Mytilus edulis: one gene and its partner. Each later gene encodes a partner of the first gene's protein in a complex. Links are inferred from orthologs where the notes say so. Each region holds a gene or a part of one and is shown on either strand. Other genes may lie near its edges.

Region 1 (12,693 bases):
AACGAAAAACGAGAAACACTTATGAACCACATAAACAGACGACAACCACTGAACATCAGATTCCTGACTTAGGACAGGTGAAATCAATTGCACCGAATTTAAACGTTTTGTGGTACCAAACCATCACCTTTTCTGAAACAATAGTATAACATCACATCATAGAAATACACACTGTAAAATATCAATTGGAATGATTTAACTCAATCAAAAAACGTAGTAACACAAATTGCACAGAAAAGAAACCTCTTTTCTGATGATACCTTGATATACCGAGAAATGGATTCCAAAGCGGACCTTGATACTGCTGTCAAATGGGAGGATGTTGGCTCATGAACTTCTTTCCTTTTATCAATCTTAAAATAGTACAGAGGCGGCGCACTTGGCATTATACCATAACATTAGCAGTGCAACAACAATGATTAACAAACTTAGTCTTAGATGCATGATTTTTTTATTAGTTGTTAGTGGTTTTGAACTAGCTGTCAGATAACTGCGAGTACTCTCAGATCTGTTCATTGTGTCTTTTTGTGTCGGGATGTATAAGTACCCGGCCACGTTCACTTGTATTTTTGTCAATCTGATGAGTTAAGCCTTTTTCAACTGATTTTTATAGTTCGTTCTTATGTTGTACTGTTATACCACTGTCCCAGGTTAGGGGGTGGGGGGTTGGGATCCCGCTAACATGTTTAACCCGCCACATTATTTATGTATGTGTCTGTCCCAAGTCAGGAGCCTGTAATTGAGTGGTTGTCGTTTGTTTATGTGTTACATATTGTTTTTCGTTCATTTTTTTATATAAATAAGGCCGTTAGTTTTCTCGTTTGAATTGTTTTACATTGTCTTATCGGGGTCTTTTATAGCTGACTATGCGGTATGGGCTTTGCTCATTGTTGAAGGCCGTATGGTGATCTTTAGTTGTTAGTGTTTGTCATTTTGGTCTTTTGTGGATAGTTGTCTCATTGGCAATCATACCACATCTTCTTTTTTTTATATTAATCAAATTAAGAATGGAAGTGGGGAATGTGTCAAAGAGACAACAACCCGACCATAGAGCAGACAACAGCCGAAGGCCACCAATGTGTCTTCAATGCAGCGAGAATCTCCCGCACCCGAATGCGTCCTTCAGCTGGCCCCCAAAGAAATATATTATACTAGTTCAGTGATCATTGAGGTCATACTAAACTCCGAATTATACACAAGAAACTAAAATTAAAAATCATACAAGACTAACTTGCATGGCCAACACTTGCAGAGCGTCGACTCGTCTAAAACCAGACCAGACCAGACGTGACGTGGTTGTGTATTTATACATCCAGTACAGTCAATAGGACGGCGCACTTTGACAAGGGTTTTGTTGTAGTTCGGTTGAAGACCAAGCTTGTTGAAGGCCAACAACAACTAATAAATAAAAATCATGTATCTCAGAATCAAAGTCAGAGTTTTGAGCATGTTGAGGTTCATTCAAGTATTTGTTGATAGAAGTTAACAGATTGAACCAAAAATCCAGTTTCTATACTAGTATAAGGTGGAATATAATGTTGTATACAATTATATTCTCCATTCACTAAGAAGGATATACAAGTGTACAAATGGCATTTGATAACTAAAGAGTTTTGACCGGCGCCTTTACGTGCATGTCCAGATAACTTTGTAAATGATGTTTAAAAATAGCAAAAAATATTTGTGAAAAACTTATGTCTAAAGTGCCTAGCGGCAGCTGAGCACCGATCTCTTTTGAAAAAGTAATTCAATAGTGAGAGGGGATATGACCTTTAACGGGACTTCGGGATCGGGTGTTTTTAAGCTCGGATTTCGGGATTGACCCTTTCGAGATCCGGGAATTCCCTTTTTCGAATTTCGAGATGTCGGGATTTAACTAATTTAAATTCGGGACCTCGGGATTGGCTGTTTTTAAGCCCCGGATTTCGTGATCAGGACCCCTCTTATCCCCCCTCAATAGTGGTCATTTAAATTGGTAAAGTGGAACATGCTGCCACGAGTTGTTATATTGTCTTCAATATTTAGATCTTTCAGAGGACAGTTGACACCCAAACTAACTGTTCCCTGCAACACCATCTAACAGTATAGATATCAATGTACATGGTTTTAATCACTTTCACATTTTCTCGAGTTTGTCGCTAAACATTCTAAAGACACAAAACTGCATGTGACATGAAAATTTGCAAAATTTGAATTATTATTGAAAGGACTTGAAAGTTGCACTTTTCTGTGATATGTTATGTTTACATTCTCCTCGTATGGAAACAGAACGGTATCTTCAACGTTATGAAGTTGTAACTTCATACCAGAAAAAAAAGTAGCCTGAAGGTCTTTTTTTTTTATAAAAGAGGGACGAAAGATACCAAAGGGACAGTCAAACTCATAAATCTAAAACAAACTGACAACGCCATGGCTAAAAATGAAAAAGACAAACAGAAAAACAATAGTACACATGACACAACATAGAAAACTAAAGAATAAACAACACGAACCCCACCAAAAACTAGGGGTGATCTCAGGTGCTTCGGAAGGGTAAGCAGATCCTGCTCCACATGTGGCACCCGTGAGGGTTTCTTATCGTCGAGTTGCAAGTTGCGAGTTAAGAAAGTCGAGTTGCGAGTTAAGCAAGTCGAGTTTCGAGTTACAAAAGTCGAGTTGCGAGTTACGAAAGTCGAGTTGCGAGTTACGAAAGTCGAGTTGCGAGTTACGAAAGTCGAGTTGCGAGTTACAAAAGTCGAGTTGCGAGTTACAAAAGTCGAGTTGCGAGTTACAAAAGTCGAGTTGCGAGTTACGAAAGTCGAGTTGCGAGTTAGGAAAGTCGAGTTGAGAGTTACGAAAGTCGAGTTGCGAGTTACAAAAGTCGAGTTGCGAGTTACAAAAGTCGAGTTGCGAGTTAGGAAAGTCGAGTTGCGAGTTACAAAAGTCGAGTTGCGAGTTAAGAAAGTCGAGTTGCGAGTTAAGAAAGTCGAGTTGCGAGTTACAAAAGTCGAGATGCGAGTTACAAAAGTCGAGTTGCGAGTTAAGAAAGTCGAGTTGCGAGTTAAAAAAACATTGTTTACACCGAATTTTCAGGTTTGATTCACATTTGATAAACAAAACATGCATGCACCTGAACTTAGTTATTCCCGTGATTGTGGGATTTGAAACAGTTTATGTGATACTTATTTATTAGAGTCTAATATAAGTTAAGTTCTGGAAGCATTTAAAAAAAATAATGTATCCTTAAAATGGACAAGATCGATCTTATTTAATTCAATGCGTTTACACTACAACAAAAAAAAAGAACCGATCTGACCATAAATTACCTTTCGTAAACAAATAATCCTAAAAATAGAATAGTAAAGGAAATTCTGCATCTCGCGCAAACTATAACACATTGCAAAATCATTGAGAAAATAGTTTGCTCATTGGAATTTCGTATGGACTTATTAATCATTATTTTGGATCGTACATCACAAGTCATTAAACAAAGATATGTGTGTAAACTATATATCTATCGCTAAATAACGAACGGCCAATGCGATTGATTGTTGGTTGCTTTACGCCGCATTAGCACAAAAAGGCTATATCACGGCCAATGCGTTTGAAGATGAGGATTTGCAGCAAACAAATAGAACTTATTGATTTAGAAGATAATAAAAAAATAGCCGAATCTATGTTTACTTTTCGTATTCCATCCATCATTTTTAAACACGCCGAACATGCGCAGATTTATTTTCATATCTGAATATATATTAACATTCACCTGACAAAAGCGATCGATCTAAACATTTAAACCTTGAAAAAAGATCGATTCAAATAAGATTAATCTTTTTAAAACTACATGTACATCGATATATATATATATATAGACTTTTTAAATCCGATTGAAGATCGATATTTTCCGTTTTCATTATTACATCCATCGTTTTGAAAAACGTGTGTTTTTGCCGCCAAACATAGGTAGTAATTTCCATGCAATCGTGACAGATATGTATAATAAAAGTGAATTATGTGCGAAAATAGATAATGTGCTTACTTCTAATTTGTATTCCCAAATTGAAGTAAACGAAGGGGATATTTTGAATCCCAACCTTTTTAAGATTTTTATAAAAGAATTTAACCGGATGCATTAAATGAAACCCTAGATGCTGTTGATATAAATGACCGCAAAATTGAGTGCCTCATCTTGTTATTTTTTGTCTAGTTCCAAGGCAAGTCTTTCAAACACGAGTGTTTAGAGGTCACTCTATCTAAAACCAAAGTTAATATGTTTAACAAACCTGGAAAAATTTTAAAAGAATATTTGTATTGCGAAAAAGATATAATAGAATGTGTTTACAATTATAAGTATCTAGGTTTAAAATGTATATTGACTTTTTAAGAATGGAAAGGGAGAGCTATACAAAAAATCACTATAAGCAATATTCAAATTGCGAACTTCATCATCTTACAATCCAAGTAATTTTACTCTATAACATATATATATATATAGTGCAGGCGATTTGGTGTCACGATATCACAGTAGCATGGGTTCGAATCCCGGCGAGGGAAGAACCAAAAATTTGCGAAAGCAAATTTACAGATCTAACATTGTTGGGTTGATGTTTAATTTAATTAAGTTTAAAATAACTTATAATTGACAATATCAAACATGTGAACACGTCTATATAACTCAAGTTTAAACCTAAGTGACTCAGTTTAATAAGTTACCCAATACTTTCAGAGGCGGATTTAGGAGGGGGCGGGGCCAGGGGCCCCCTTTTTGGGGAAAAAAAGTGTTTTCTTATATAGGGAATCACTGAAGCGTCACTGGAGCGGGCCCCCTCTTAGGTCAGTCAGTGGGCCCCCACTTATGAAAATTTCTGGATCTGCCACTGACTTTAAAAAAATACGTATGAAATCATGATGTAGTAATAATCATTTTATACTTTCCAATTAAATCTTACCTGTAAATGGCGCAAATATAGTTTTTACAATAGTATCTTTGACAGCTACATTTATAAAATAAAGAATAAAAATGGGGAATGAGTCAAAAAGACAGCAACCAAATCAAAATATACAATTCAACCAAAGGTCATTAGGTCTACAAATTAACACAGCGAAAAATCACACATCTAGAGGGAGCCCTGAGCAGGCCCGAAACACAATATAGATAAATAAAGAATGTAGACGCCATTCTATGCTGCTAAATATAAAGATGAACCAAAATTAAAATGTATACAAGAGCAACAAAGGCTAAAGGTTCCTGAAATTGGTCAGACACAAAAAAGCGGCGTGTTTAAACTGGTTTTATTCACGCCCATCATATCCCCTTTATTTCTAGCCAATGCATAAGACATATATAATTTTAACATCCTCAATTTTGAGTGTCACTGACAAACAATAAATTTTGCGGTCCCTAACGAATATTGCCCGGCTCCGCAGCTGCCCCCAAAAGCCCACTTTATACGAAATCTGCAGAAGGGGTGTTTTACATATATGAAATATAGTTTAGTTGCTATGTCCCTTTACGTTTAATACGACGGTGCTATGTATGAAATTTAAAAATAATTAAAATGCAAGCCATCTGCTGTATTTCAAAAGGCTATCTGCTTCTTCAGAAAATACTAAACGTAGTGATTATCTAGTCCATTTTATTTTTACAAGAGACTCAGATAGAGTCCAAACCACAAAAATAATCAACAACACTATATACAATTCTATAAGAAATCATCATTCCGAAATGTTATCAGTTACCCCAAAAAATTGAAATATTTTAGTTTCCACATTTTTACGCAATTCGACTTTTGTAACTCGCAACTCGACTTTCTTAACTCGCAACTCGATTTTCTTAACTCGCAACTCAACTTTTGTAACTCGCAACTCGACTTTCGTAACTCGCAATTCGACTTTTGTAACTCGCAACTCGACTTTTGTAACTCGCAACTCGAATTTTGTAACTCGCAACTCGACTTTCGTAACTCGCAACTCGACTTTCTTAACTCGCAACTCGACTTTTGTAACTCGCAACTCGACTTTCGTTACTCGCAACTCGACTTTTGTAACTCGCAACTCGACTTTTGTAACTCGCAACTCGAATTTTGTAACTCGCAACTCGACTTTCGTAACTCGCAACTCGACTTTCTTAACTCGCAACTCGACTTTTGTAACTCGCAACTCGACTTTCTTAACTTGCAACTCGATTTTCTTAACTCGCAACTCGATTTTCCTAACTCGCAACTCGATACTCGACAACAAGTGAAACTCGGCACCCGTCGTGTTGCTTATAATGTTATAATACATGATTTCAAAATGTTTAAAGTTAATAACCATAGTTTCGTTCATCTGGCGATTTTATGTGACTGTGTTGTTAATCTTAACTATTTAAACCTTTTATTTCCTACTAATATTGCTCTCACATAATAGTTTTAAAACATTTAAAAAGCAAAAAAAAAAAAAAAATATTCAGGAATCCGGAACAAATTCCTCATTCCGAACTTGTTTATATATTAGTTTAATAACTCTGCTTCCGGTTGTTTCGAGCCGAAAAAGATTCAGCTACCTGTTTTGAATTATTTCCTTCTGGGGCTGTGTTTCGTGCAAATAATTTAAATGTTGCATTGATTTTGACACTTTGTTGAATGCTTTCAAGGACAGGCATGTGGACAGCAGGTACAGTTTTTCCTTCATAGCCATAACTCATTTGCTTGCATAAACACTAGAGTAGAGTAATTACCTCCCCTTTTGGCACTTTTTGAACAGAAATTTAATTGCAGTCTTAAACTTGATAGGCATAATTTAAAAACCGGGTTGATTATTTTTTCAACTAGTCCGAGATTACTCTGATGTCCAACGGCTGTTTTGCCAGACAAGCAGGGGCCGTGGGATGTCAGAGCTCGTCCCATATCAAAAAGTGGATATTTGCCCACCCAAAAAAGATGCGCTGCTTCGTCGCTTCTGATGCCGACTGACAGCCTTGGAATTATATAAATCGGGCGTCAATCTGTTCATTTTTCATTTATCTCTTCATTTATGTAAGTTTCACCTACCTGCCAACCTTGATTTTTCCATATTTTAACAGTTTTCACAGTGACCCATCGATTTCAGCATTTTGCCTTTCATTTTCGAAGATAATCACGTGACCACGAGAAAACAGTGATGATTTATGCAAATGACCATACTGTAACACCTCGTTCATTTACAATGCAAGTTATCTAAATGTCCGAGAGCTTCAGATTGTAACGTGGTCAGAACTACATAAACATGTAAATGCTTCATACCGATCTCCTGTAAAGGAGGTGAAAAAATATAAATATTTGCATATTTTGAGTCTCAAGACCACAAACTCTCTTGCCATTGGGTGCTATAAACAGTTTCGTATAAAAAACTAGGGGTTATTCCCCGACTAAAAATAACCATGGAGGGAAACCCCTGTTTATTTACTCAATTGGTGAAAAAGTATCATGTTTTTTGTATTTGATTGTAAAAATTAGTTAATTAGCTTTGAATTAAAACAGGTTGAATGATTGAAATAATTTTTGAAATTATATTAACTTTACATGTTTTGAGGGGAGACAACACTGTAAACAACCTGTTTTTTTGGCAGTGAAAATTGAAAACTTATTTGCAGCCACTGTAGCTCTTTTTGGAGCAGGAAACCGTACCCTGAAACAAGATTTTTTTGAAAGGCCAGGTAAAAACCTACAAATTTCATACAGTTTTGATTATGTAAAATGTGCATGGATCATGTCTTCATGGGTGTGCACATGACCTGGTTTCAAGTTTTTGTTGTTCAAATTAGACCTTTTTTCCCCCATGTTCATTGGATGGAATATTTTTTATATATTAAAAGTACACATTATTTTTATTTCATTATAAACTAGTGAACATTCTGATTCCAGTGATATCTAGTTTTATACAAGTATCTTTATTAATCAGTCCACCACTAAGGGTCACTTATGCATGGTCCCTCAAAATGTGACGTCATAGAAAAAAAAACTGTTGATTGCACCCATTTGAAAGTAAAAGTCAAAATGCCGAAATCGATGGGTCACTGTGAAAACTGTTAAAATATGGAAAAATAAAGGTTCGCAGGTAGGTGAAACTTACATAAATGAAGAGATTGACGCCCGATTTATATAATTCCAAGGCCATCAGTCGGCATCAGAAGCGACGAAGCAGCGCATCTATTTTGGGTGGGCAAATATCCACTTTTTGATATGGGACGAGCTCTGACGTCCCACGGCCCCAGCTTGTCTGGCAAAACAGCCGTTGGACGTCAGAGTAATCTCGGACTATTTTTCAACATAATTTTATTTTTCAAGGATTGATTTATTGAAAAACTAAAAGCAATCTGATTAGTGATTAAATCTGTAATTGTAAACTCCCAGGTTTATACATTTTATGTATACATGTACATAATGTTCTAATTATTTTTGTCCAAATAATTATGACGTCTCGGAAGGCTATTTTAATCTTCTGCTTTGACCCCTTTAAAAATAGTCAATATGAACATGATGGAAAGGTATCCACATCATACTGCATGATTACAATGTATCTGAACTTGTACAGGTCAAGAATAACTATTAATTTATATGACATGTATGAGTGATAAATTAGTGGCTTATACCTCAATTTAAGTATAATCCACTATTTGACGTACATGTACAATGGGATACACCAATACGAATACGAAAGTTTTATTTTGATTCGGTTCACATATAGCAATACATGTATTTTTGAAAGAGTTTTTTACCGAATATAAAATCATTAAAACACAAACATGCAGACAAGATATATAACAATGTTACACAGCCTGACAGGCATATTGAAATACTAGCAAAGATATAGGAAGATGTGGTGTGAGTGCCAAAGCACTACTAAAATACATATCTAAACAGTTGAGGTATAATGCATTTTTTAATTTTATCCAAAATAGATTTTAAGATATACATGTACATGTACAACTGCTGTTGTTTTTTTTGTTTTTTTCTATGGTCGGGTTGTTGTCTCTTTGGCACATTCCCCATTTCCATTCTCAGTTTTATACAATGTATATTGGAATTTGGAGCATCTTATTCGGTTACATATACCATAACAAGCTTTGATGACCACTTACTGACTTAGCTTCCTGCTAATGATCATGGTGTTGATCAAGAAACCAGAAAAGTAAAATTTTGTTGAACTGATGTATAGGGAGTTGATTATTAAATTTACTTTAATAGTATTAGTAAACTCAGTAAAAAAACACTATTGTCTAAAATCAAACAGGGATATGCCAATTTTGCAAAATACATTTTTTTACTAATAATGCCATAAGTCACACATGATTCGTTTTAAGATATAAGACCAAATAAAATAATATGTTTGGTCCAGTTACCAGTACATGTATATATCTTAAAAAAAGTAAGGGAAGGTACATGTAGGTAGGGATTTTTCTTTCTTTCTTTCTTTTTTTTTTTTTTTACACTGCTCAAGTCTATCATGTTTATGTGAGCAACATAATGTCTTTAACCATTGTTAAGGAGGCTCTCAGGTATAAATCATTTTTTTTTCTAATATAAGATTTCGCTATATTTTTCTATAAATGAACTTTATCATATACCTAATAGAAAATTGAAATAAAAAATGGGGTCACCATTCATTTAAGCTCACAATCTGCCTCCAAAAGAAGCATACAAATTTGTTCAAGTCCTATTTTTCTGTTGAATTAATAGGAGATATAGAGGTATTATTGCAATAAAAAAAGAACTAAATTGCAGAAATCGCTTAAATTTTACAATTATTTAGTTTATGTATAGCTTATTTGAAAACAATAAAAAAAATATATAGGTCACTGATGAGTTAAAAAAGATATTTCAATTTTAATGCCAAAAAATGGCATTTTTGCACCAAAGGGACATAATTCAGAGCTTTTTCACTGATATTAACATTTTAAAAGTCATCTGGGGCCAAACCAAATCAACTTTTTGGGTTTTATTTTGTACCATAACATAAAGTAATAACTAATAGTGCAATAAATAAAATTTGTAATGAAAAAACAAATGTTTAATTTTTTGCTGCAATTTTTGTAACTGCTTAATGAAAAATGCCATAAATAATATCTTAAGAATTTGCTATTATGAAGACTGAAAAGTAGCGTAGGTAGGGTAACTAAAACCACACATATATTTTTAATTGGCACAATGATAATGTACTTTGTAGTTTACAAATCAATATGTAATAATGTATTAATAATATTTGACTAAATGAATCAATTATACATTGTAGGATAAATATTGCCAAAAGACATGAAAATGTAACTTATCATGGCTGATAAAGAACACAAGGACCATAAGATCAGCAGCCATCTTACTTCAGAGTCTGTCAAGGTCGTCTCTGAGCAAGTTGGGATTGTGGGATTGCCAGATGATGCAGCACAGTATCTAGCAGCAGACTGTACATACAGAGTTAAGCAATTAGTACAGGTGTGCAAGTAATAAGATACCCTACTCATAGATGTAGAGGGGATGGTGAAATCCAGTTTTATGTTTTCTGCCTTCTTTATATTTTTTTTGCTTAAATTTTACCCTTATCCATCTGTACCTCCCAAAGTTGGTTTCCTTTCTCTTACATTAGTTTTCCTCAACCAAATATTATGAAACTTACATACAATAATAATAACAACATAATATGGATCAAGTTCAAATTAAGGAAGGGTCACTTTTGCCTTCATGAGTTTTGCCCCTTTATAAACATTTTAAAAATTGCATAATTTTTCGTTTTTGTTGTCTATACTACTTACTATATTTAAGACCAAGGATTTATAGTTTGTTACTACAAACAAGAAACTTATTTTCAGTTCAGTAATTTGTCAAAAAACATGATACTAAGTCAGACACAAATATAAACTAAAGAAATAGTTTATTTATGTAGTGGAACCTCATGTTCATTTATACATGTGCAGCTTTTTCAAATTTACCTGTGAATTGTACATTATAGGAAGCAATCAAATTTTCTGGACATAGGAAAGGACAGAAGCTGTCAACCTCTGATTTTGATCAGGCATTGAGGTTAAAGAATGTGGAGGTATACTTATCCTTAGACATAGATAAATGTATAATACATGTATGCAGTACTAGTATAAGTTGCAGATCAAAGAGACTGATCATGTTACATACAATTTATTTCTTATAAATTGATCATTACAAAATGGTTTTTTGAAGAGAGTACATGCCATTAGATAAAAGAGTAGGCAACAAAAGTTGTAATATCTCATGATTTCAACCAGATAGAGACTATCTACATTTGTCTTTTCATGAGAAGAGGAAATAAAATATCTTTTGTTTAGTACAATGTGGTGACGAGAAAGGTTTACCATGATTATGCAAAACATGAAATTTTGTGTCTGTTTTTATATTTGTATAAAATGTGCACCAAACATTTCAAAAGAGAGTGAATGAATCAAAAAATTATTAGAAATCTATGAAAATTTAATAAATCTAATAGAATGTATATAGATGTATTTATCATGTTTTTTTATGAATAAATAATCTAAGAAATGTCAGAAGTAGCTTTCCATTTGGTAAATTATACAATTTCATCAAATTTTCAATATTTTACAGCCTCTTTATGGATTTCACAGTAAAGAATTTGTACCATTCCGTTTTGCTAGTGGGGGTGGAAGAGAGCTACATTTTACTGAGGAGAAAGAGTTGGAGTTATCAGATATCATCAACACTACACTGCCTAAAGTCCCTCTAGATGTGGCTTTGAAAGGTGCAATTATTTATCAAACTGCAAATTTATTATTATTTCTAGATGTGCATTTTTGGGGGTAAAGACGAATCACAAATTTTTAATATTCAACAAATGCTGTCTTTGGTTCAAAATGAAATACAGAGAAATCCAATATTTATGTATTGACATATTTTCCTTAATCTATGTATATTGATATCTTGAAATCCACTATAGCATTAAAAATAACTTCTCATATGATACAGATGAAAATTAATTTTAATTAGAATTTGCAACAGAAAGCATACCAAAGAGTGACAGTTTGCTTTCTGCATTGTGCATTCAAAATTAATTGGTGATATCATATATACAAAAAATGTATTAGTAGATAGGAATTTGGCAATTTAAATTTATTGTCATTTAATGTTTTTCTATCAGCTGTTTTAGTATGATTCATTTACAAGATAAGTAAGATTGAGAAAAACATACTGGCAGCATTAATCATCTGCTTTAACATGTTTAATTAAGCAGAAAAAAGGTTATTTGAAATTAAACAACATTACTTTAAAAAATATATTTTTCACCTCTTTTTGTATTTATTATTTTTTATCATAAAATAACACTTATCAAACAAAATTAAATATAGATATGTTGTTGATATTTTAGCTCATTGGTTATGTATTGAGGGTATTCAGCCTACAATACCAGAAAATCCTCCTCAAGCCAGCAAGGATCAACAGAAGAAAGAGATATTAGATACCAAAGTAAAGACAGCTATTGACAACAAACCACAGAAGCCTGTTGTTCCAGAGAAGTCTCGGCATCGACATAAAGCTGTTGATTTGGTTAAAGTCAAGGAGTTATCTACCCATGAATTATCTGTGGTTTGTATTTTGTAGTATGCTTGTAGTCGGGCAAGAATAAATTATTTCTTTAAATTGTAATATGTCTTATTTTTACTGTGCAACCACTTAAATACAGGCTTTCGTAATGCATTGTAATATGTCAAATTAAATA
Region 2 (12,991 bases), on another chromosome or scaffold:
GTCAATCAGGTGTGATCCTATAGCAATACCAAACGAGAACTGACAAGATATTCTATGAGAGCTTAAAAGGGATATGAAATAAGGCATCACTGCTTAACTCCAGAGTAATCAAGTAAACAAGCAAGGCAGAAAACACAATAAAATATTTTTTGAGGGAAGGCTTTGAACAAATAAAAACCATCAAAAAAGAAAAGTAAAAAATTTATCAGCAATTCTTTGATAAAAACTGAAATTTATTCAATTGTTTTAATTGAATATATTAAATTTGGTTTTAACCTTAAACTCTACCGTTTTTATTGAGGTTTTATGTCCCATACAAACTTCATGCTATAATTTCTGTGTCATTCAGTCTCTTAAAGAATTGTCTCATTAGCAATCATACCACATTTTCTTAATTTTATATATATAGGCCACAAAATAAGTTAGCAGGATGAACAAATTGTTCACCAATACAATGAAAATACTACTAGAAACCTCAAGATTAATACTGTTGGAGGAAGAATATGAAAGTATGAATAACACCATTTTAAAATCATAACTATTTTAATCTTTTCTTGAATTTGGCAATTTTCATTGGTCTCAAATATGGATTGTCTATAGAATCTGTATCAACTCCTTGTGGATTATCTCCCACTATTTCAGACTGTTCTGGTGCTCTCTTGCGTTTTTTAACTGCTGTGGTCTCTGGTTGATCTTGAGAATCTAGATCTTGATCTTTTGGAAGCAATGCATTCAAATATGGCAAAGGCATAGGTTTAACTGCAATTACTGAAATAAAAACAGTTTGGAAATCTACAGATTTGATACTGTTCACAAAGTTAGCTGGAGTTGACATTTTTAGTTTGCTGATTTTACGAAAATCTTTAAACTACTATAAACCAACCAATTTTTGCAAGCAATTTATTTTTGGAGCGTAGAACACAAACACACATCATCACCAATTTTGTAAAACTTGGATCTTCCTCTTCTTCATGTACTTGTAATAAAGTCATCAATAAATAATGCCCCTAGTTTTGTAAAAAGTGCTTAACACAAAAAAGAAGAGTCCATTAAAAAATAAGATGCATTATAGTGACTTAAATACAGAATATTTACACAGTAGTAAAAAAAAAAAGCTGAATACCATTATATAAAATTAAGCAAATGCATTCTACAAAAGCAAAGATTTAAAATTGAAACAAAAGCAAATATTAGAAATTGAAGCAAGGTAACAAATATCTTGTTATAAAATCAATATATTATGCAGATTCACACAAAAAGCAACAAACTAGCATGTACTGAAACAACAAAAAATCCAATTTATGTTCATGTTCATGTCTACAAAGTGTACAGTATCGTGCATATTTGAGGAGGTGTGGTGTCAAATATTTGAACACCTGTAAAATAGCCTTAAATAATTTTCTTGACATTTTTAGTTTAAAGTTAAAAATCAATACAGCATCAAATCAAAACTTACAAGGATATGTAGTTGTATCATCTCTAAACAAGGACTGAGTTTCTCCTGTTTTAGCTATAAATCTTGTTAATGCTCTCTCAACATCACGTTTTTGAGAGGCTGCTTTCTCTCTGATCATTTGATATTCGCTCATTGGAGCTTTTTTTGTCTACAAAAGAATGGGATGAAATTACATGAAAACAAAATGCATAAGATTAACTGGTGATCTTTATTTTATTTATTTAAATTTTTTTTAAATTGCATTGGATTGCAGCTTCATGTATCTGAATCCCACATCTCTTCTAATTCATATTTTAACAAATTTCATTGTACAGTTTGGAGCTAAGTTTTTAATATTTGTTGAAATAAAATTGCATCAAAATACACTACCTACAAAAACATAAAGAATAATTCTATATCATTTTCCAATTGTATAACTTACAGAAGTTTTGATGTATGTATGAGGATCAGGAAATGGAGGTAGATGATCTGGTATGTGTGAAGGATGCTCTCTACGATCTCCTGTCTGTAACATCTTAATATTGGGTGGTGGAGCACTGTGTGCCGCTGGAAAAATAAAAGACAGAGTGTGTTATTAAATAAGTGTATCTAGTTCAAATTCACTGCTGGATACTGTAGTACTTCAATTAACATACTCTTAGGAAGAATGGTTGGTTATGGTAATTTTGCCCAAAGGTTTATTAAAAATATTCTTGTCATATACAGTGCTCTAGCTAGAAATCAAAAGGGGCAGGGTGCCAGTGGAGGGAAGGGCACTTTTTATGATAAGAAAAGGCACTGCTCATTTTTTTGTCTACGTTTCTGTGTGTATCACGAGTTAACGAATCTCTTTTTTTTTTTACTGTATATATGTTTTTTTTTTTAAATAAAGATGCTTTTCAACTATAGTCTTTATTTCATTGTTGTGTAGTTATGAATGATATAGTACATCTTCATCAACATATTATGTTTTTACAGTTTAACTTCACTCTACCCATTATCAAAATATATGTAGTTTTTAATTCTTAATATGATGTGAAGCTGAGCATTACTAATTTAACAATGTTTAGAACATGGATTGCTAAAAGTATAATTATCAAGTAGAAATTGCAATATATATTTTTAATATGTTCAAAGACAGTTAATATCTTTAAGGTAACATTATTATGTTATTATATATTCAATTGGTAATATATTCCTTTTTTTGATACTAGATAATATTTTTAGAGCACAAATTTGTAATAAGCTAAAACAGGGGAAGTAACTCCAAAATCAATTTCCACCACGTTTGGGTTAATTAAAAACTGTGCTTGTCGCTAACAAGTTGAGATGGAAGGCATTTCTGTAAAGGCATAGTTTTATTTTGATGACTTAAATTCAATTCTAAAGTCATGAAAGTCTTCATTTATACGCTCTTCCATTGTGACTTGGAGATCGAAAATGCTGACCCAAGCTAAACACACTCGCTTACACATTCATCAAAAGTATGACAAAAAGATACATTGTCCTAATTAAATTACCTAGTTATTAACACCTTTGAAGTCTTTATCATTGTAATTGATTGTAATGACATGATTAACCTGGGGGCAATCACACAGGTGTCATATATGTAATTAACTTGGAGATCAGTAATCGATGAAACAAAATTTTACCAAAACGGCACAAGATAATTTTGGAAAAAGACGTCAGGGCAGAAGGGCGCGGATGAAGGCACCCAGGGCGCGGCTGAGGGCACCCAGGGCGCGGCGCCCTTCTATTTTGGGCTAGCGAGACCACTGCATATACATGTACATATTTTAAAGTTTTAAGATCAATGCTAAAGAAAAATCCATGTCAATTTTACAACAATATTTAAAGTAAAAATAATGCCAATATCAACTCTGCAATTGACAACAATCAAGATTTTTAAGATACTGAAATTGACTATCCATAAAAAGTTTTTTCAATTTGAATACATTTTTCATAAATTTTCAGGTTGAATTATGCAAATAACAAACTTCCTCCATTTTAAATTGTAAAATTTGCTATATTTGAAAATATTATACCAAAAAGAGAGAATAGTGGGTAAGAAACTAGTACCAATTTTATTGAAATCAAACATTTAATTTGAAATTTCAAGGAACATTTAGAAAAATATTTGTAGCCTTGAGATTTTTTCACTAAGATATGGCATTTTTTGTGTAATTTATTACTCTTGTTTTATCAAACACTTGGACTATTTTGTGAAATAAACATGATATGCAATTGTGTAAAACATGTCTGTCTTGAAAAACTTACGTGGGAGAAATACTGTTTTATTTGGTCTTTTTGCATGCCCTGGTAATGCATGAATATTTTGACCTAAAAATGCAAACATAAATTTATACATGGATAAAAAATTTATATTTATCTCTTTTGTATGGGTATTTTTTCAACAAAATCCGCAGCATTTTTGTGCCTGTCCCAGGCAGGAGCCTCTGGCCTTTGTTAGTCTTGTATTATTTTTAATTTTAGTTTCTTGTGTACAATTTGGAGTTTAGTATGGCGTTCATTATCACTGTACTAGTATATATATTTGTTTAGGGGCCAGCTGAAGGACGCCTCCGGGCGCGGGAATTTCTCGCTGTATTGAAGACCTGTTGGTGACCTTCTGCTGTTGCCTTCTCTATGGTCGGGTTGTTGTCTCTTTGACACACTCTTTGCCCGATTTCCCCATTTCCATTCTCAATTTTAGATTTCATGTAGATATGACAAACCATGAAGGAGGACAGGATAATTTCTAAAAAGGGTAAACATTTCTGTGATGAAAGGGACATAGTCATGGATATTCTAAACATAATGAAAAATCCTTCAAATGGTGATGCTTGCATATCCTGATCAATTAATCTACAAAGTTTGAAATAAATCAAATAAAGAATAGTGAAGTTGGTATGGACAAACAGACAGCATGGTTCCTATATACATGTACCCCCAAACTTTGCAAGGGGTATAACAATTTTTTTTATACATAGATTAGACCATTGGTTTTCACGTTTGAATGGTTTTACATTAGTAATTTTTGGGGCGCTTTATACATTTGTAGCTTGCTGTTCAGTGTGAGACAAAGCTCTGTGTTGAAGGTCAGACTTTGACCTATAATGGTTTACTTTTATAAATTGTTACTTGGATGGAGAGTTGTCTCATTGGCACTCATGCCACATCTTCCTATATCTATATATGTATAACCATGTATCATACATAATATATAATACAAACCCATTTCAATCAAAGCCATTATAACATCTGTCATGATTCCTTCTGTTCTGCCAGCTAATTCTGCAAAGGCCTGTGTACTCCTGCCAAGCTCCATTAAAACTTTAAGTAAAAATAAAGGAGTTCCTAAAAATATCATGGTATTCTCTAATAGTATTTAAGTAATTTTATTTATGTTAGGTGTTAATAAAAATATTATCCAAATACAAATAATGTTCATAGGTAATACACCAATGGCCCAGGTAAGGTTCTTGACTGATCAGATTGACATTCACACTAAAAAGCACAGCACAAGATCTTGGATATACAACAAAGACTTTTAGTATTTAAAAGTATATATTTAACAGGGTAAAAAAAAAAGAAAAAAGTCATATTTAAAGATACGCCGGTTGAACTTTTGACATCCAACAACAATCATTTTTCCATTGTGGAGTCAAACATTTTCTATTGTGACGTCAAAATTTTACGGGAACCTTTGTGATGTCCAGTAATTACTGAGGGGTGGTAGGACTGGTCCTGATTCTGAAATTCCGGGCTTAAAAACATCAGATCCCGCAATCCCGGCTTAAAATCACTAAATCATGAGGTCCCGAAAATCGAAAAGAAGAATTCCCGGATCCCGAAATCCCGAGCTCAAAAACACCCAATCCCGGAGTCCCGATAAAGGTCCTATCCCCCCTCATTACTAATGTCTGACAAATTGTCATAATTTGACATAAGGTGTATTTACCAGTATCATGCTCCCTGCTGCTATTGTTCCTTCAAAGGCCTAAGGCTTTTGGAGTTGTTTCAGTTAGTTTCTATAAAGCATTGAAATGGCATACAGTTTTTACAACTTACAACTTTCCAGCATTTCAGTCAATGTTTCAATGACTGACTCTTCAGCTGTCTGGAACCCTACTTCTAAACACAGTGCACTAACTGCCACTTTTAATGCTTTCCGCGATGAAACAGCATGTTGGTCATTTTCGGATGCCATTTTTGCTGTGGTTAGTATGTAAATTACTCCATTATTTGATCGTTTTCAACAATAAATGGGCTTTTGTTGTCACTTTGACTTCCATGTTTGTTTCCTGAGGTAAAGTCTAGAGGTATTCAGGTCTCATTCCGAATGAAAACAGGTATTAACCGAAATTAGTTTGTTTAATGAATCGACTAGTCACGTACCAAATAAGAAAGTAGGTCCCTAAATGTTATCTAACCCAGCTATAAAAAAAAAACCCAAAAAAAACAGATACTGAAGGAACATACTCGTGATAAACTTTTAAAAAATTGTCACAAAAACAGACGAAAAAGTTAAAATCCTAATTAAAAAAAAAGGTATATTAATTATTATCAAACTCTCCGGCTAATAATGAATAAACAACACCAGCGGAATGAAAGTCATTAAATGTATCTAAAGAAAATTCGTAAATCTCATCAAGGATGATCTCATATATATAATAATCAAATGGAATAATAGTCACAACCTTACTCACCAAAAAAGAAACAAGTAAAAATGTGAACTACATTTAGAATAAGTGATCATTGGTTTTTAATCAGAAACTGGACGATATACAAAAATACCAAGACATGAAAGAAAATGTAAAATATGTCACATCTTAGTTGATGAATTCCACCTTTTCTTTAACTGTAAACTTAATTTAAATAATAGAAAAACCTTTAAAAATGTATTGAAAAATATGTAAATTGCAATACACTGCGGAGGAAATGAGACCAATAATTTCTGGGCCTTTTATAGCTGACTATGCGGTATGGGCTTTGTTTTTTTTATATTTAACATGTATATTATTATTGCTGAGTTTTTATTATGTTTGTTTTGTATCTGTATTGCTATTACCAAAATTGTTTTTGTTTGTTTGGGAATAAAGAATTTAAAGTCGGCATATATGTTCACCATAACAGAGAAAAATTTTCATACTATCATATAAAAATCACACTGCTCAGCCTCCATTCAGGTACTAAGAAATAAGATTTTTAAAAAAAGTAGCCTATGTGAATGTAATAAAATAATTTAAAAAAAAAAGTGATTTCTGGACGTCCAGGGTCACTTCATGATGGTGCTCATCACGGCTGCAAACACCTTCATATGCATTGCATGGGTGAGAACCAGCAATGACTAACAAACTAAAAAGCATAAACATATAAATTGGCTTTTTATAGCAGCTCAATGATCCGTATAAAATAATGTATAAAAAGCAGCTAGAGCAGAAAGCCGGAAATAAAAAGGAAGAAAATTAAGCTACGATGTAGAGCTGGATACTAGAGTAATGGACTTTTGATAATCATAAGAAGATGTGGTATGAGTTCAAAAGAGGCAACTCTCCATTCAAGTCATAATTTGTTAAAATTAAACACTTAAAGGTCAAAGAATGGCCTTCAACACAGAGACTTTGCTCATACCGAACAGCAAGCAATAAAGGACACCAAAATGACTATTGCAAAACAATTCAAACAGGAAAACCAATAGTCTAATCTGTATAAATAACGAGAAACGAGAAACACTTATGAACTACATTAACAAACGACCACCACTACAGGTTCCTGACTTATGACAGGTGCAAACAAATACAACAGGTTTAAACGTTTTAACTGGTGCCAACTTTCACCCTAATTAACCTGAAATAGTAGCAGAACATTACATTCAGATTCAATGTTTTATAAGAATCTCACCACTTAATTGTAATACATATAATCTCTTGTCTGGTATGTAAAATGTTGATATTAATTGATATGATAATATGATAGTTATATATATATAGGCTTCCCCTAGATAATACTTAAGCATATGACTTTACGTCCTTGACATTTATTCATGATCCATTTTTTTTTCTAATATATCATTTTTATTTGCATTTTTTTTATCCGATTTTGTACAAAAATACTTTTTGGTAAGAAAAATTCCTTTCAAACCCAACTTCTGCCAAACCAATCAATGCATAAGAACAATATGAATTTCATTAAAACGAATGTCCGAACTTAGAATGTGACCAAAACTACTGTGGCTGAACTGATTGGTGGCCGAAACGACATGTGGACGAACTAGAAGTGTGGCCGAAACATCTCGAAAGCGTCCGCCTAAAGTAACAAATATGTAGCCAACCAACAAACACTAAACATCTTGATAATGTCAGTTTTAGAGAATTTTTGCTTTATAATATATAGTCTGAGCGGTTTTTTTTACCAAATCATGAAATGTAAATATATATGTCAGTTATCTTCTTTATTATTAAGATAACTATAAATATTACAAAACAACATTTCAAAGTGTCACATGTAATATATATATAATAATATAATTGTAACCATATTTTTAAAAATTGTTTCTTATTTCTAACGCATTCGGTATTTAAAAGTTTAGAAACTAAAAAATATTCATTACACAAATCTTTTAAATCTAAACCATAAGATTGGAAAATAGTTTGCCTTATATCTTTATATTTATCACAAGATATCAAAAAATGTGCTTTAGTCTCTACTTTAGTGCAAAATTTGCAAAAACGCTGTTCTCTTGGAATTTGGGGTTTATTATATCTACCCCGTTCTATATTTAAACAATGAGCACTGATACGTAGTTGTATAATTTTACTAGTCTTTTCATATTTTTTGTAAGATTGGTTTAAAGATAGTAGGGAACAAAATTTGGAACAAAAATATTACTGAAAAGCACCAGTTTACTGTCCACAGCTCCAGATTTGATATTTTGTAGTTGTATGTCAGCTTGCTGCCTAAAGTATCTTATCACTATTTAAAATGTTGTTTTTTTTGTATCAAGTTTAGTTAAGTACTTTAAATATCATTTTAAGTTTTCATTAGATAATTCTTGATCTGCAGTAAATGCACTTTGTAATATTTTACCTCTATTTATTTTTAGTAATCTCATATACTTATTATACATTAAACATAATGAATCTGAAATCAACATTGGATTCCTGTTACATCAGAATGTCATTTGATTATATTGAAGCAAACAACCTATTATTATTTTAATACATAGATCTTATTAAATGAAACCTCCTTTTAATGTACATTTTATGCATATTAAAAAGCAAATTCAAATGAAACATAATTTTAAATATAAATAAAACTAAGTCACATACTTAAGTGAATATACTTGTATGGTAGAATAGTTTGCAATAAAAAGGTCCATGAAAATATGCCTTGCATGACATTTCTATTGTTTATTGTTTATTTATATGTGCTGTACATATGTTGGAAATTTTGTTTTATCATTTAAAAAAGCTCCTAATTAAAGGAGGCTTATACCAGGAAGAAGAAGATAGAAAATACATATTTTTTTCAAATTTAGTTGAAGTTCCATAAATACATGTCGCTCTTCTGCCCTGCCACAGACAGGACAGAACATTACAGAAAAAACTGAGAATTCGAAAACGTCCGGGATCGTCCGACATAAATTGTATATTACTCAGGACTGTGGGAAAGGTTTTAACACTTCTTTTTGATGGTGTTGCGGCGGTGACATTTTTGCCAGAGGTTATATTGCTGAAAACACGCTTGCCATCGAAATTTATACATTTAAGACAGCTGAATATGGAAAAGGTTACCTCTCAGGTTTGCAATTTAAATGAAACAATAAATATAAAGTTTCAAACTGGGACACGGAGCACCTCTCACCACTGTAATTGCGGGTATATCCTATAACCTTAGTTCTATTGACATTGCATAATGCAAACAATGTTTTACTAGCACATTAGAAATATCACACAATGATAACTGTTCATTGATTTGTCTCTCATTGATTGTTTAAAAGTAATTGATAGAAACATTGATTATTATTTGGAAATGTAACTTTGTTTGAGCTGCAATGGCCAATGTGCCTCATGTAAGACACAGGGCACACCCTCCTAAATTGGAGGATGGAGGATAGATATGCAAATGTACTAATAAAATAACTGATTCTTATTACCAAGGATCTTACTATACAAATCCTTGTTACAATAACCTAATTTATTTTTTACATTTTCCCACTCTTTACATTAAGTTTTTATAGGGTGTATATAGCCATTCAAATGCCTTGATCGTTCGAAATAAAAGGGGGGAACCACCCAGAACCCAACCCCATTTTTTTTTTAAATCCCCCTGAATCCATCACTACCAAATCATCATCATCCATGTCTCCAATGGCTGTTTCAAATTACCCATACTATGAAATTAGGAGGGAATTTGGCAGTGGAGATAGTTTTTTTACTTGTCAATCTGCAAGTAATTTTCTTTTCAAGATGCTTACAGAAATATTTGATATCAGATTGAGATTGTAATTAATCATTAATGAACAGTCTCTATAATGAGAGGTACATCTCTATTGACTCTAATGACTTTTAGGTCACCATGTCAAAGGTCAAGGTTATTGTTTAAAAATAGAAAAAAAAAATCCAGAATAAAAGGGGTACCACCATTTCCCCAAGAAATACAAGTACAACGTAATATCCCCAAAACAAACTGATATATCCCAATAACAAGATTTTCATGGTGTTATACTGTGTTAAATTAGTGTAACAGCATACAATTATAAGGATTAAGGCGTTCATAATTAATAAAAGTATGCACAATCTTCAGAAAAACGATTTGTATATCTTGTATGCAAACTCCTTGTTGAAAACAATATGGCAGAAGTTATAGTTTTTATACAAGGCATAGTAATAAAAGTGCAATTATGTACACTTCAAGAATTCGATGTGTATCATACACATCGAATTCTTGAAGTGTACATAATTGCACTTTTATTGAGAAAAACGAGAAATATCTTTAATTAATATTCTTTGATATTGTTAAAAGTAGTAAACAGTAACACCATTAAAAGTAGCATAACACCATAACAAATCTTTTTATCGGGATATATCAGTTTGTTTTGGGGATATTATAAAAGTTCTTGTATTTCTCGGGAAATCGTGGTACCGGAATAAAAGTTTCAATTTGAGGTCAAGGTTGTAGTTTTTCTTTCTTTATAAATAATGCAATCCTCCCATGGGAGTATTGTACTGTAGTTACCAAAAATAAACTGACATTTGTGAAAAAAAAGTGTTTTCCAGATCTGTGCTAATTATTTACAAAAATCAAATACTTCATATGGGATAGCAATCTTAACTTACATGTAGGCCTAAACAATTAAATTGTCTGGTTCAGGTAACATGTCCCAAAAATATTGTTTGGGTAGTTGGGTATTTTTTCTAATTTTTAAGAGTTCCCACGATGATAGTGCTCAGGATGACCTTCTGGAAATATTTATCACACACTTGTACACTGCTATAAAAAAAAAAAGGGTCACAATCAGGGTCTTTTGTTAGGTGGGGTAGGGTTACCTGAACCAAATTTTTTTTTTCTAGGCCTTAGTATATCATAATGTACAAATGTATGGTCATATATATTGAGACAAAAATCTATAATAATTTTTGACATCACAACATAAAAGGTCAAAGGCATACATGAAGGTACTAAAAATACACCAAAATTTGTTCAGAAAAGTGGTTTCCAAATATATTTGTTGTGCTTCAGTTGAGATTGCATTCTTGCCTACACACATTGTATAAAATATCTTGTAATTTCATCGTAATGTTACTAATATGGACTGTAATTCAATTGTGTGCTGAAAAGCAGTTACAGATAGATAAATACATTTTGTTGTCACTTTTTTTTTTTTTTTTTTTTTAGAGAAATGAAGATTTCTATCATTTTTATATGAATTTTAAAAAATTTACCACAGTTTATGCAGAAAATTGGTTCCAAGTTACACTAAAAAATATTATTATTATCATTTTTATATGAATTTTAAAAAATTTACCACAGTTTATGCAGAAAATTGGTTCCAAGTTACACTAAAAAATATTATTAATAAACTGATGGAATTTAAAACTTAATTCAATAATGAATATATGGTCACTCACATGTAACATGTACAGTATATAAAAATATAGGAAGTTTCCTTTTCTTTTTTCAGCTTTTTTAAAAAGTTCTGACATGTATGTCCATAGTTGATTAGTTTCAGTTAGGAATACACACTAAATGTTGATACATTTCAGCACAGTACTATATTCGTCTGTGAGAACTATATATCTTGTATGTAATTCCAAACTTCAATTTGGTTGAAAAATATTTCTCAATTGCATTATTTATTTCAGTTTTAAGGTTTAGACTAGAGTTATAAAGAGACAGCTGACATACAATGGAAAGGGCAGACCTTGTTTACAAGCTGGTTGACGAACTAGAACCTGTGGTAATAATATACTATAATTAATAGAAACAAACTTTGCTGCTGAATCCTGTTTAAAGCAACATTTCTTCATTTGCAATGATTTGCAAATATATTTGATATATTTGTTTCATATAAATTACAATAAATGAACACAAATGGTACATATAGAGAATTGTTCAAAAAGACATTTGCCACTCAGTCCACTCAGTCCATTCTTGGTATGTAATTCCTTCCTACCAACTCATACATATGTGAAATGTTTTGTCAATGTTTGTCTTTGAGTTTTAAATGGCTAAAGATATTGAAATCCACTTTTTTGGTTAATTATCATGATTCAAGACAAAAATTATATTTAATGAAATTACAGCCTTAGAAGTTTATCAACTCAATTTTCAATCAGTTGCAGACTTTGCATAAATATTTTTACAACCCAAAATACATTAGCAAATGTATTGATATTCATTTGCAAACGGTAGATTTCTATCCGATGCAGCTCATTTAACATTGACATGTACATTATTTACAAACACAAAAAATGATAGAGATATACATTGTATGGTGTTTTAAATCAACATGAGACAGCTATCCAGATATGGAATTTATCGCTACATTGAAGACCTATTGGTGACCTTTTGCTGTTGTTTTTTTCTATGGTCGGGTTGTTGTCTCTTTGGCACATTCCCCATTTCCATTCTCAATTTTATTACCAAAGACAAAAATTACTTTATTTTGAATTCATGAATTAACTTTACTACCAAAAATAAATGAATCCACAGTATTGAAAAAGGAGTTATAGGAACACAGAAGGATGCATCTGTTTTTTACGTTTACTTCCTGTATTACTTTGTAGTTAAAGAAGTATGCCTCCACAGGAATTGAGGTAGGGAATATAGGATGTTGCATAGATCTGTTTATTACATGTACTACCTTTTCATTTTCTAGTTAGAGAAGTATGCCTCCACAGGAATCGAGGTAGCCGTACTGATTAGTAAGGTCAATGACAATGTTGTTGGTTACCAAGGAACAAAGTTAGGCAAAGATTTCCTGGAACAGAATACTTTCTTTACAGAGACATTTAGGAAGTTTTGTAAAGGTAAATATGACATCTCTGAGGC

The links.
Region 2: transcription initiation factor TFIID subunit 6-like (region 1) and transcription initiation factor TFIID subunit 8-like share a complex: the UniProt entries of both Homo sapiens proteins name them as parts of the TFIID basal transcription factor complex. The link is inferred for Mytilus edulis from reciprocal best matches to the Homo sapiens genes TAF6 and TAF8.

What each region holds. Positions count from the first base shown.
Region 1 is NC_092352.1:41,336,977-41,349,669, forward strand, and holds the start of transcription initiation factor TFIID subunit 6-like, read left to right. Parts: upstream 1-6,472; 5' UTR 6,473-6,633; intron 6,634-10,230; 5' UTR 10,231-10,268; coding exon 10,269-10,427; intron 10,428-10,941; coding exon 10,942-11,028; intron 11,029-11,564; coding exon 11,565-11,718; intron 11,719-12,342; coding exon 12,343-12,560; intron 12,561-12,693. UniProt on the Homo sapiens protein: The TFIID basal transcription factor complex plays a major role in the initiation of RNA polymerase II (Pol II)-dependent transcription.
Region 2 is NC_092350.1:20,033,059-20,046,049, forward strand, and holds transcription initiation factor TFIID subunit 8-like, read right to left. Parts: upstream 5,761-12,991; 5' UTR 5,646-5,760; coding exon 5,507-5,645; intron 4,769-5,506; coding exon 4,670-4,768; intron 3,776-4,669; coding exon 3,713-3,775; intron 2,003-3,712; coding exon 1,878-2,002; intron 1,605-1,877; coding exon 1,457-1,604; intron 769-1,456; coding exon 539-768; 3' UTR 525-538; downstream 1-524. Other genes in the region: zinc finger protein 43-like, read left to right, coding at 11,847-11,897, 12,819-12,969. UniProt on the Homo sapiens protein: The TFIID basal transcription factor complex plays a major role in the initiation of RNA polymerase II (Pol II)-dependent transcription.